Tamandua tetradactyla: one gene and its partners. The protein of the gene in region 1 purifies or fractionates together with the protein of each later gene. This does not show direct contact. Links are inferred from orthologs where the notes say so. Each region holds a gene or a part of one and is shown on either strand. Other genes may lie near its edges.

The links. Proteins that work in one complex are often made in the same cells at the same time.
Region 2: the proteins of SNRPA (region 1) and PRPF19 fractionate together in Homo sapiens (co-fractionation; 3 studies listed by BioGRID and IntAct, with this or other methods). This does not show direct contact. The link is inferred for Tamandua tetradactyla from reciprocal best matches to the Homo sapiens genes SNRPA and PRPF19.
Region 3: the proteins of SNRPA (region 1) and SRPK2 purify together in Homo sapiens (affinity purification with mass spectrometry; 4 studies listed by BioGRID and IntAct, with this or other methods). This does not show direct contact. The link is inferred for Tamandua tetradactyla from reciprocal best matches to the Homo sapiens genes SNRPA and SRPK2.

What each region holds. Positions count from the first base shown.
Region 1 is NC_135342.1:23,372,515-23,376,263, reverse strand, and holds the start of SNRPA (U1 small nuclear ribonucleoprotein A), read left to right. Parts: upstream 1-1,127; 5' UTR 1,128-1,260; intron 1,261-1,288; exon of another isoform or gene 1,289-1,551; intron 1,552-1,715; 5' UTR 1,716-1,737; coding exon 1,738-1,810; intron 1,811-3,749. Other genes in the region: ACTMAP (actin maturation protease), read right to left, coding at 1-120. UniProt on the Homo sapiens protein: Component of the spliceosomal U1 snRNP, which is essential for recognition of the pre-mRNA 5' splice-site and the subsequent assembly of the spliceosome. U1 snRNP is the first snRNP to interact with pre-mRNA.
Region 2 is NC_135335.1:14,207,394-14,211,142, forward strand, and holds the start of PRPF19 (pre-mRNA-processing factor 19), read left to right. Parts: upstream 1-1,228; 5' UTR 1,229-3,749. Other genes in the region: voltage-gated monoatomic cation channel TMEM109, read right to left, coding at 92-116. UniProt on the Homo sapiens protein: Ubiquitin-protein ligase which is a core component of several complexes mainly involved pre-mRNA splicing and DNA repair. Required for pre-mRNA splicing as component of the spliceosome.
Region 3 is NC_135327.1:143,769,233-143,772,981, forward strand, and holds the start of SRPK2 (SRSF protein kinase 2), read right to left. Parts: upstream 2,406-3,749; 5' UTR 2,347-2,405; intron 1-2,346. UniProt on the Homo sapiens protein: Serine/arginine-rich protein-specific kinase which specifically phosphorylates its substrates at serine residues located in regions rich in arginine/serine dipeptides, known as RS domains and is involved in the phosphorylation of SR splicing factors and the regulation of splicing.

The sequences.
Region 1 (3,749 bases):
TATAACATCTAAGTCTGAGGGACTCGGGGGCAGGGGAGGAAGTGGCATGATAGGGTCCTTGAGTGCAAGGGCACTTTGAGGGACAGGGGACTCTAGGGGAGAAGAGCATGGAGAAGTCATTTTGGGTTCTATGGGAGTATCTGGGGGTAGCAAACGGAAGAGGAAAGGATACTTCAAAATGAGTTAGTCTCAGAAACGTTGATTTTGAAGGTTTAAGAGTCCACTTCCACAATTTGGGGGCTAAGCACTGGGACTGAAAGAACTGGGGCTAAAATCTGGAACCATGGGAAGCAGGGATGGCAGTTGACTCAAGTCCCGAGGTATCTGGGAGCTGACCTGTCTGTGTCTGGATTAGCTGAATCCCGAATCTCAGATTTTGTGGAGTGGGGCAGGGCTCAAGAGCAGATTAGGAGATTAATTTTTTCTCCAGCGTAGTATTTAGAAACCTCATGCGTCAATTTAGGGACACAGGCTGTCAAACGTATGGTGATGCCTAAAGGTGGGATTGAGGGGCTCAGGGCTAAAAACCGGGGGAGTTTAGGCTCTACTTGCATCCGAGACCCCAGCTCAAAACCTTCCAGCGGTCGTTCGAGCCAGGGGTCAAGAGGTCAAAAAGGACACCTGGCAAGGAAAATGGCTTAGTTTTAGAGAAGGCCCAGTAAACAAAAAAGCAACAGGAAATGCCTACAGGAGATGGGGAAGGTTCACAGGTCGGAAGCCAGCGGGGGCCAAAAGACCGGAGTAGGGAAGGGAGACCCGCAGTATCACGCGCGTGCCCCGACCCCTACCCCCGCAAAATGGCGGCGGCTGCACACTACCTTTCTCACATCACGTGAGGACCGCAGCCTCATAACCGCCCCTTCCATGATCACGTGGCAGAAAACACGCGGAGGCTTGGAGAAGGCCCGGAGATGAGGCTTCCTAATGATCGCCGCCGGAAGAGACTGAAATGCGAGCTGCGTCCCGATTGGCAAGAAGAGCGTGAGGGGGCGCGGCCTTCATTGATTGGTCCACAGGCCCAGGGGCTGCAAGACGTGGGCGGAATTTCAAGGAGTTGGGTGGGTTTTTTGTGTCGAGGCGGGAACCCGTGTGTCGTTTTGATTGGCAGGGTGAGGTAGACTGGCTCTGATTGGCCAGGCTACTGAGGTTCTGCCTGGGGATTGGCTTCTAGAAAGGCAAAGGCGGGGCCAGGAGAGGAAGCTTTGTGGTTGGGTCTCAGAAATGCAGTAGTTATCCCTTGCGCGAGCTGTCGAATGGTTGGTGAGTAATCTCGAGCGAAAAGCTGCCATAGACTCTGGGCGGGCGGAACTCTTAGTGCTTGGGACTTCCCGCGCCCCTTCTGGGGAAGTCTTCCTGCTGCGCGAGGCCAGGACGCCCCCAAATTTTATCCTCCCAACCTTAATTGTTCTTAACATCCGGGTCTCTCGTACCGGCCGCCCTTTTGGGCTCGTGGGCCAATAGGAATCACTACTTAGGGCGCCCCGCCTACCGGGCCGCGTAAAGCGTCCTGGGACTCGTAGTGAGAGTCTCGAGAGTTCTCTCACCACGCGGGTAGGCGATCCCGAGTCCTGACTAAGCTTTGTTGCCCGAGCTGTACCTCCCGGCTTTCCTGAATTCCTTCTGCTTGGAAGATCCCCGAGCAGCCTATTAGGCCAGCACTGGGATCAAGGATTTGCAGACATCTGCGGCTGAAATCTCCTTTCTCGTTCTTTCAGTCCTACCTCGGAACCTCACACCATGGCGGTTCCCGAGACCCGCCCCAACCACACTATTTACATCAACAACCTCAACGAGAAAATCAAAAAGGATGGTAAGTTCTCGGGATGGTCCAAACTCCAGACTATCCTTCACAAGCTGGTCCCACCCCTCCCCGGCAGCCGCTTCTCTTCCTCAGGCTTCTGCTCCTGCCAAACGGCTGCAGTGAAAGTCCTTCGGCCTTTGCACATGCTGCCCTCTGTCTTTTAACACTCCCATACGTCGTCTTAGGCGCTTCTTGTTCACCTGATCTCTGTTGCTCTTCGTTTGGGTTTCAGGTAACGGGACTCCCTCCTCCAGAAAGCCTTTCCTGGTCTTCTACTCTCTGTGATGCCTGCCTCTGACTTCCCCTAGTCTCCGTACATCCACCATCAGGCCCTGATCATTCTGGGCTGTCACTGTCTGGAGACGGGTCTGTCTCCTCATTGGTCTGTGAGCTCCATGAAGCAGGGACCTCGACTGGCTTTTTCCCTGTTACCTTCTCACTGAAAACGTACAGTAGTGTCTCTGTACGAGGTGCTGATCTGTGTACTTTTATGAAGTCAGTCTTGGATATATTCAGTTTTCACAATCCTGCCAGGAAGAAGCAATTATATTCCTATTTTTCAGATTAGGACACTGACTTAGTAATGAGTGACTCTCCTTAGGTTATACAGCAAGAAAAGTGGTAGAGGTCACAAGTATGGAGTTCTGCTTAAGAATTCACTTTTTGAAGTGAGACAGACTTCCACCTTCTTGAGCATTCTCTATATCGGGAAATTGAGCAAATTTCTAATACCTTCTTTGCAGGGATATTCTGAGGATTAAGTTAGTTAAACCTTCATGCAGCGCTTTTTTTTTAAGGTACCCAGCTGGATAAATGTTAGTAGCTCTTACAACTTCAAGAAAATGGCCAGTAAAATCAAAGGAGCTTGTTGGGATTAAGTTTGAGATTACCAATAAAGTTGCTGTTTTAGAAAACAAAATAAGGAATGTAAATTCTGCAAGTGCTTTTAGAGCATTGTGCCGGGCAGTTCTGGGGACACATTGGTGACTGAGATAACCCTGGCCCTGTCTCGTGGATTCCAGTTCAGTGGGAGAGAGTCCGGTTCTCCGACAGTGTCAGGGCAGAGGGGTTGGGGCTCGAATTCATTCCTTCATAGGAGAAGATATTTTTTGGAAAAGCCTTCAGGTAGCAGAAGCGTTGTTTTTGTATGATGAGAGAGAAGGGCGTTTCTGACTTAAATCAGTAGTGCAAATCTCTAAGGGCCAAAGAAAGCCTGGAGCATTGTATGAACCACCGATAGTTTTGTGTGCCTGGGGCTAGAGGGCCGTGCACTGACTCATGGGCCCTTCATCTAGGGCTTGGACTTTGTCCTGACGGTATTGAGAAGCTAGGCTAGGGGCGTTGCCAGTTGTTGGTTGGTAAAAATCCTCTCAGCTGTGGAGGTTGAACTGAGAGGGTGAAAAGGGAGGCTGTAGGCTGTGGAGAGGTTCAGAGCCCAAATGACTGAGCCCTGATCTAGCCCTCCCACGTTTTCTTCTCTTCCCTCATCTTTTTTTTCCCTAGTTTGCATAAGATATTGCTATTGTTTTCAGACCTGGTTGGGAAGACAGGTCTTTCCTTGGTTTAGCTTAAATCTTGCTTGCTGTCTGTTAGTGAGGCAGTTTGCTTGTTCAGTTTGGATGGACTTAGGTTCTGCTCTTGGTTATGTCATGTCTTTGAGCAGTGTCCGCCTCTCAGAGCCTGTTGCCACTTTAAAATTGAGAGGGTTGCAGTTGCTAACTCATGGGATCGTTATGAGAATTTAGTCAAGTTATTTCCATAAGGCACCTAAGGATGTCTTGATTCATGCAAACGTTTGTGGAGAGGTTGTGTGGTAGATTCTACACTAGGTCTGATGCTATTGCAGTAAACAAATCAGACAGGCTTATCCCTCCTTGGAGGGAGAGATGGGTAACAAGTAAATAGTAGATGTCAGATTTTGGAAAATGTGTGGAAAAAAAAAGAAAAT
Region 2 (3,749 bases), on another chromosome or scaffold:
CCCTTACTCTGGCAACCGCCCTGTCTCCGCAGGACTTCCAGCAGCGCTGGGATTCCCTCTGCTCCCCGGAAACGTACGCTTCCCGGGTTACCTAGTAACGACGCCCCCGGTTGCATAGCAACGAGGATCCGGGTCCCTAGTTTGTTTCCCCCGCCGCACGACGTCGGACCCCTCCCCACTCCGGCTCGCCAGGCCTTGAGGTTCCGGTCTCGTCCTCCCCACAGCGGCTGCCGCTTCCCGGCCCTGTATGTCTCTCCTCCGGCCCCGGTCTCGGCTCATACTTACGGAACTTCGGCAACCGTTGCTCTTCACGTGCGACTTGGCTAAAACGCGCCACCAAACCCGCGCCTCAACGCCTGGGCGTTCGTTTACCGTCTGCGCATGCGCCAGCTCCTGAAGCCGAGCCGGGTCGGCCTTCGCCGCCTCAGGAGCTTAGTGCCATGAGCGCATGCGCTCTACCGTCTCGATTACTTTTTTTTTTTTTTCCCCCAAGTTTTAGTACGGAGAGAAGAATGGGATCGGAAGTTCAAGCTGGGAACGGAAGTCTCTGACAGGAAAGGGGGAAAAAGGTGACTATATCTGGGCTGTTCAGTAGGTAAACTGGATCTTTGGAATCGAGGTCGAAGCCAATTTGCCGCTTCAACCCCCTCGGAATTTGGGGAAATGTAGTTCTTGGGCTACATAATGCCGCCTCGGGCATTGTGGGAAATGTAGTTCTTAACACAGGCGCCGAGAGCCTCGGGTCTCGGGAGAAACTTTGCGCTCAAAAGGGGTCATGGTGTGAGAATTGGAGGCGCAGCGACAGTGGGGAAAGGCATCTGCCCCATCACAGGGCACGTCCACACCTGAACCCTGCCGGGTGTTCGCTCAGAATTTTAGAGCAGTAGGAAAACCAGCGCTCAGACTCCTTCAGCGGTGTAAACGGGAAGGATTTGGGGTGCGGCGACCTGCTCGGTGATCCTGGACGCGTCGCTTGATTTCTCTGAGCCTCAGATCCTTCAGCTTTACTCTGAAGCAGCTTTCAGTGCTGTAAGGTTCCCAAGATACCGCCTCACTGTCGGTTTGAAGATTGATTCAAGGAAGTGAAGAGAGCGAATATTACTTTGAAGACATCCACATTGCTTCCCAAAGGCTTCATCGCCGTTACTGACAACCGTAGGGATGGCTCCTTTCTGCTGTTAAAACCAGGTCCTCAAGAACGTCCTAAAAATCGGAGCCCTTTTTGCCCCTCCCCTGAACCTGCCTCCCCATTCTGCCTTCTTTCCAGGTTACATGCAGGAGTGGCTCCCAGTCTGTCCTCTAATCTAGTTGTTTCTTTCTCAGACTCACCTATCTGCATTTGGGCCCTCATCATTTACTGTTTCAGCTAAGAATCTTCTGGAGCAGGCTCCGGTGGCATCGTAGACCTCACCTTTAAGTTTTGTAACAGTCGCTGTTTTACGTTTGCTGGTGAGATTGTTTCTGATTTGTAGGGCTATGGATCTCAGATCGCAGACGTCCCTGTGCAAGCATTCTTATTTTTTTCCTATGATGTTATCTCTTTTCAAATCTCTTCTTTTCCCTTGGAGTGGTAGAAACAATCTCAGACAGGGTTCTGGGTTCTTCTGACTCCTGACTTTCAGGTTGTACGCAGTCTTGGGAAAGTTAACGTATGGCCAGCCGGGAGAAGGGAAAGCTTATCTAAACTTCAATCTCAGTTGTTTGAATTGGCAACTCCTGAGACTCCCAAATCTTCTGTCATTTATCCAGGCAGGTTGCCACTGAATCTACCTGGGAAATGGAGCTTGGGCTGCCTCTGGGTTATTGGCAGACATGCCTCTATGTTTCTCAAGCAACAGCAGCTTTGGCCTGAGGGAGCAAGGGAAAGGGCTCCTTTTTCAGAGACTCACCAACAGCTGTGCAGCTATCTCTTCCCCTCTATTTCCAGCCTAGGGAACTTGTGTCTCTGCTGGTTTGAAAGGATGTATGTACCCTAGAAAAGCCATGTTTTAATCCTAATCCTATTTTGTAAAGGCAGCTGTTTCTTCTAATCCCTATTCAGCATTGTATGTTTGAAACTGTAATTATATCATCTCCCTGGAGATGAGATTTAATCAAGAGTGGTGTTAAACTGGATTAGCTGGAGGCGTATCTCCATCCATTTGGGTGGGTCTTGATTAGTTCTTTTATAGGAATAAAAGAGGAAACATTTTGGAGAATGAGAGCAATTCAGAGAGCAGAGCAGAATGACGTAGCCACGAGAAGCAGAGTCCACCAGCCAGCGACCTTTGGAAATGAAGAAGGGAAACGCCTCCTGGGGAGCTTCATGAAGGGAAGCCAGGAGAGAAAGCTAGCAGATGACGCCGTGTTCCCCACATGCCTTTCCAGATGAGAGAGAAATCCTGTTCGCCATGTGCCTTCTCACTTGAGAGAGAAACCCTGAACTTCATCGGCTTTCTTGAACCAAAGTATCTTTCCCTGGATGGACATTTCTACAGACTTGTTTTAATTGGGACATTTTCTCGGCCTTAGAACTGTAAACTAGCAACTTATTAAATCCCCCTTTTTGAAAGCCATTCCATTTCTGGTATATTGCATTCCAGCAGCTGGCAAACTAGAACAGTTTCCTTTATGGGGATGTTGAGGTGGGGCAGATTAAGGAGAGTGGGTGGAGGTCAAACTCTTACAAGTTCTATTTACTCCAAAATCAACTGTTTAATATCTCGATCCTCTCTAGTCCTTTAGAGGCTGACTTTTGAAATGCAAAATCCTTTAAGGGACTCCCTTTTCGCTATGTTCTGAAGTCACAACCATAAGCCCCCCCCAATGGAGGGTCATTTCTGATTTTGCTCCTAGTGCAGTGCCTGTCTGGTACATAGTGGGTACAGTCTAGTAAGTGAATGGCTGATGGTCTCCCTCCAGTCTGCCCCGCTCCAACCTTCCAGTAAGCGTCTTCCAGAGGAAACTTCTAGAAATGTGGTTATCTTTAGGTCACTCCGTAGCTCAAATGCAATCAAATGCTGTTCTGCTCCCAACCCAGTCAAGTCTAACCACTTACTGTACAAGGCCCCGACTAAATCCACCCAGTCTATATCCTGCCACATCCAAGTATTTGAGGTGCCTGACGTGTCAGGCAGCCTGTTATTCAACAAAATTTATGAAGTTCCTACTGTTTGTCAGACACTGTGTTAGAATCTTGGAACAACAGTGACCAGGACAACTGTGATTCCTGTCATCACAGAGTTTACAGTCTAGCAGAGAAATCAGACATCAAACAGATAGTTATAAAAAATTAAGTGATTGTAGCTATCCAGTGGGGCTTCAAGGAGAATCACAGGGTGCTATGGGGTCTAACTTCAGATAGAAATCAAGAAAAGCCTTCCCCACGAAGTGACATTTAAAGTGAGATGAAATTACATTGGAGGGTGTATTCGTTTGTTGAATGCTGCTGGAATGCAATGTACCAGAAATGGGTTGGCTCTTACAAAGGGAATTAAATTACAAGTTTACAGTTCTAAAGCCATAGAAATGTCCAAACTAAGATATCCAGAGAAAGATACCTTGACTCAAGAAAGGCTGATGGTGTCCAAACACCTCTATCAGCTGGAAAGACATGGGGGCTGGTGTCTGCTGGCCCTTTACTTCTGATTTCAAAACAGCTTCCCCAGGGAAATTTTCTTTCTGCACCGCCAAATGTCTGTGTCAGCGCTGAATCAACTCCAAAATGTTTCCCCTTTTAAAGGACTCCAGTAAACTAATCATGATCCACC
Region 3 (3,749 bases), on another chromosome or scaffold:
CAGTGTTGAAACTGGTTTCTGCCATTTAATTTCTGCAAAACCTTAGGCAAGTTACTTAATACCAGTCCTCAGAGGTCATTATTATAATCAAATAACATATTCAATAGATAATTATTGACCTTAGTTGAGCGAGACATACACCAATCTACTTGCTTGATCTTTTGCACTCATTTTTCAACAAATACTTATCAAAGGCATTATTGTAGGCACTGAGTCTACACCAGTGAACAAAAGATATCCAAATCTTCCTGTTCTCATGGAGCTTACATTCTACTCACAGGAAACAGGCAATAAACAAAATAAATATGTGAAATATATACTGTTTTTACTAGACGGTAATGACTTCTAGGTAGAAAAATAAAACAGACCTTTTAGGAAGGGTTTGTATAAGGTGATCAAGGAAGGTGTCCCTGAGGTGACATTTAATTAAAGACCTTAAAGCAGTCTTGCTGACAAGATTTTAGTTCTTTAAACTAGGAAAGAAATATGAAAATTAGCCTCCTTTTAAATGCCCTCTGAGATTATCAGGTTTTAGGAAAGTTTCCTTATATCTAATCTGTACTTTTACTATGAAGCTTAAACCTGTCAATTGTTTTCTCATCATAGGGTATTTCTCAGTGGCACTAGCATCATTGCAATAGCAGTGTAATGTAGCAGTTAGTGTAAAGTAGTAGAGCTTGACTGCCAGAGTTCACACTCTAGTTCTTCATTGCCAAGTTGCAGTAATCTTGGACAAGTAACTCAGTCTCTCTATGTCTCAGCTGCCCAATCTGCAAAATTCAGATAATAATATTGCCTACCTTGAAGTTTGTTACGAGAAATGAGTTATTTCACATAAAAATGCTTAGATAATGTGCTGGTTGAAAGGATATATGTTCCCTAGAAAAGCCATGTTTAATCAAAATCCCATTTCATAAAGTTAGAATAATCCCTGTTCAATACTGTATGTTTGAAGCTGTAATCAGAACATCTCCCTGGAGATGTGATTTAATCAAGAGTAGTTGTTAAGCTGAATTAGGTGATGACATGTCTCCACCCATTGGGTGGTCTTGATTGGTTTCTGAAGTCCTATAAAAGAGGAAACATTTTGAAGAATGAGAGCGATTCAGAGAGAGCAGAGAAGAACGACATAGCCCTGAGAATCAGAGTCTACCAGCCAGCAACTTTTGGAGATGAAGAAGGAAAATGTCTCCCAGGGAGCTTCATGAAACAGGAAGCAAGGAGAAAAAGCTAGCAGATGATGCTGTGTTTGCTATATGCCCTTCCAGATGATAAATGTACCCAGACCATGTTTGCCATGTGCCCTTCCACTTGAGAAAGAAACCATGACTTTCATCAGCCTTCTTGAATCTAGATATCTTTCCCTGGATGCCTTAGATTGGACATTTCTATGGACTTGTTTTAATTGGGACATTTTCTCAGCGTTAGAACTGTAAACTCTTAACTTATTAAATCCCCCTTTTTAAAAGCCATTCTGTTTCTGGTATATTGCATTCCGGAAGCTAGCAAACTAGAACAAGTCCATAGTTTTCAACTTTATTGAAACTAAGTTTTCAATAAATATTAGCTGTCCATATATGTACACATAAATATACATATTAGGGATGTATTATCTATTGCTGCGTAAAAACTTACCCCCGAATTTAGCAGCCTAAAATAACAAAAAAATTGTCTCAGTTTCTGGTCCAGGAATTTGAGAATAGCTTAGCTGAAGAGTCAAAATGTCATCTGGGATACAACCTACAACCTAAATAGATAGATGGATGGATGGATAGATATATAGATAGGTAAAGACAGAATGACATGACAAATGTGGAAAAATGTTAGAAGTTGGTAGATCTGGGTGTCTGGATGAGGGTATGTTGGAGTTCTCTGTATGGGTTTTGTATAATTTTTGCAACTGTCCTGTAAATTTGAATTTATTTCAAAGTAAAACAAAAAAAATTTTTAAGTTATTATGCAAAACATGGAAAGTCTGAAAAATTATCACGTCCAACAGGAGCCTAAGGAGACATGACAACTAAATGTAATGTGATCTCCTGAATGTCCTGGGATAGAAAAAAAGACATTAGATCAAAACCGATGAAAAGAGAATAAAGATTAGTAATGTATCCATATTGGTTCATTAATTGTGACAAAGGTATTATACCAGGGTCATATATTAATATTCGGGGAAACTGGGTGTGAGGGACTATCTTTGTGACTTCTTTGTAAATATGAAACTACTCTGAAATTAAAAACTCATTTTAAATATTTAAAAAAAAAAAAAAGGGTATCAGCTCAAGCTACTATCACCTGAAGCCTTAACTGAGGCTGGAAGCCCTGCTACAAAGACAGCTCACTCACATGTGTATAGGCAGGAAGCCTCAGTTCCTCACCACCAGGACTTCTCCATGGGACTGCCGGAGTGTTCTCATGGCATGGCAGATGGCTTCCCCCAGAGTGAGTCACCCAAGAGAGAACAAACAGAAGTTGTATGATCTTTTATGACCTACGCGTGAAGTCACATTCCATCATTTCTGCCACATTCTATTCCTTAGAAATAAGTAACTAAGTACAGTGTGTGCTCAAAGGAGGAGAATTAAGCTCCACCTCTCGACTGGAGGATTATCAAAGGATGTGTGAACATATTTTCAAATCACCACAAGGGGTCATTCTTTGTTTCTTTTAAGTGCCTCTGCTTTACAAGTTATAGTGAGAATCCTTGGGAAAACCGCTCCTTCTACCATTTGTTTAAACCATAGAAATGAAAGGTAATTTCCGTTTAACATTCATACTTAAGAAAAGGGAATGTGGACTAGATATCCTAGCTTGAGAAAATCATCAACTGTAATAAATCTGTTATAAATAAAATGCCTCCTGTATTTAAGAGTCTTATATAAGCCAGCTGAAAAATGACTCCTGAAGATTTCCCAAGGGCTGGATTAGGATGGATTTAGAATATTGACAAATATGTCAACATGTATCTAAATAGATCAGATGGCCCGGACATAATAAACTATGCTGAATTGTCCCACCTAGGGTGACATTCCTTCCAAACATTTAGACATGGATGTAGCCATGATAGAGTCTCAGTTCTCAAATACTTGAACTCTCTGAGTGTAACAATTTGGCTTCTTATTTTACTGTGGCTGTGGAAAAAATCCAGTATAAAATATAGAAATAAGCTGAATATGTTTTTGTTCACAGTTAAACAAACGAACAAAAACATGGAACATGTTAGAAACTTAGGTTTGTATCTCTATTGTGCAACAGCTCTGAGATGAAATCCTTGGCAGAACAAAACAGAGAGAAGTGATTCTTCCACCTCCCTTATTAGCAAATAAAGTAGCTTCCCAGTTAAGTTATCCCCAGTTCTCTTCACATTTTGTTTGGTTCCTTAAAAACCTGGGGCAGTATAACACCCAGCCCCTACCTTTTCACCACCCAGACTTGAGAAATCAAAGGGAGAAAAATAGGCCTTCCTCAGTACAATAAGTCAGGTCCATCCAGCTCACTAATGTGCCCCACCGAATCTGGCACCCCAGAGTTGCTCAGCTGGTGTTGCTGAATAAATCGTCTTTATATCACTTAGCACCCAGTCTCAGAGACTGAAAAAAGAACCTTTATTAGCTTCAAGTCCTTCAGCAAAACTTAAGTCAATGTTTCCAGGCATCAAAATTAATGTGTTTTTTTTTTTTGCTAGAATAACATATATGACTATATATATATATATATATATATATATATATATATGACAAGGGAGGAGG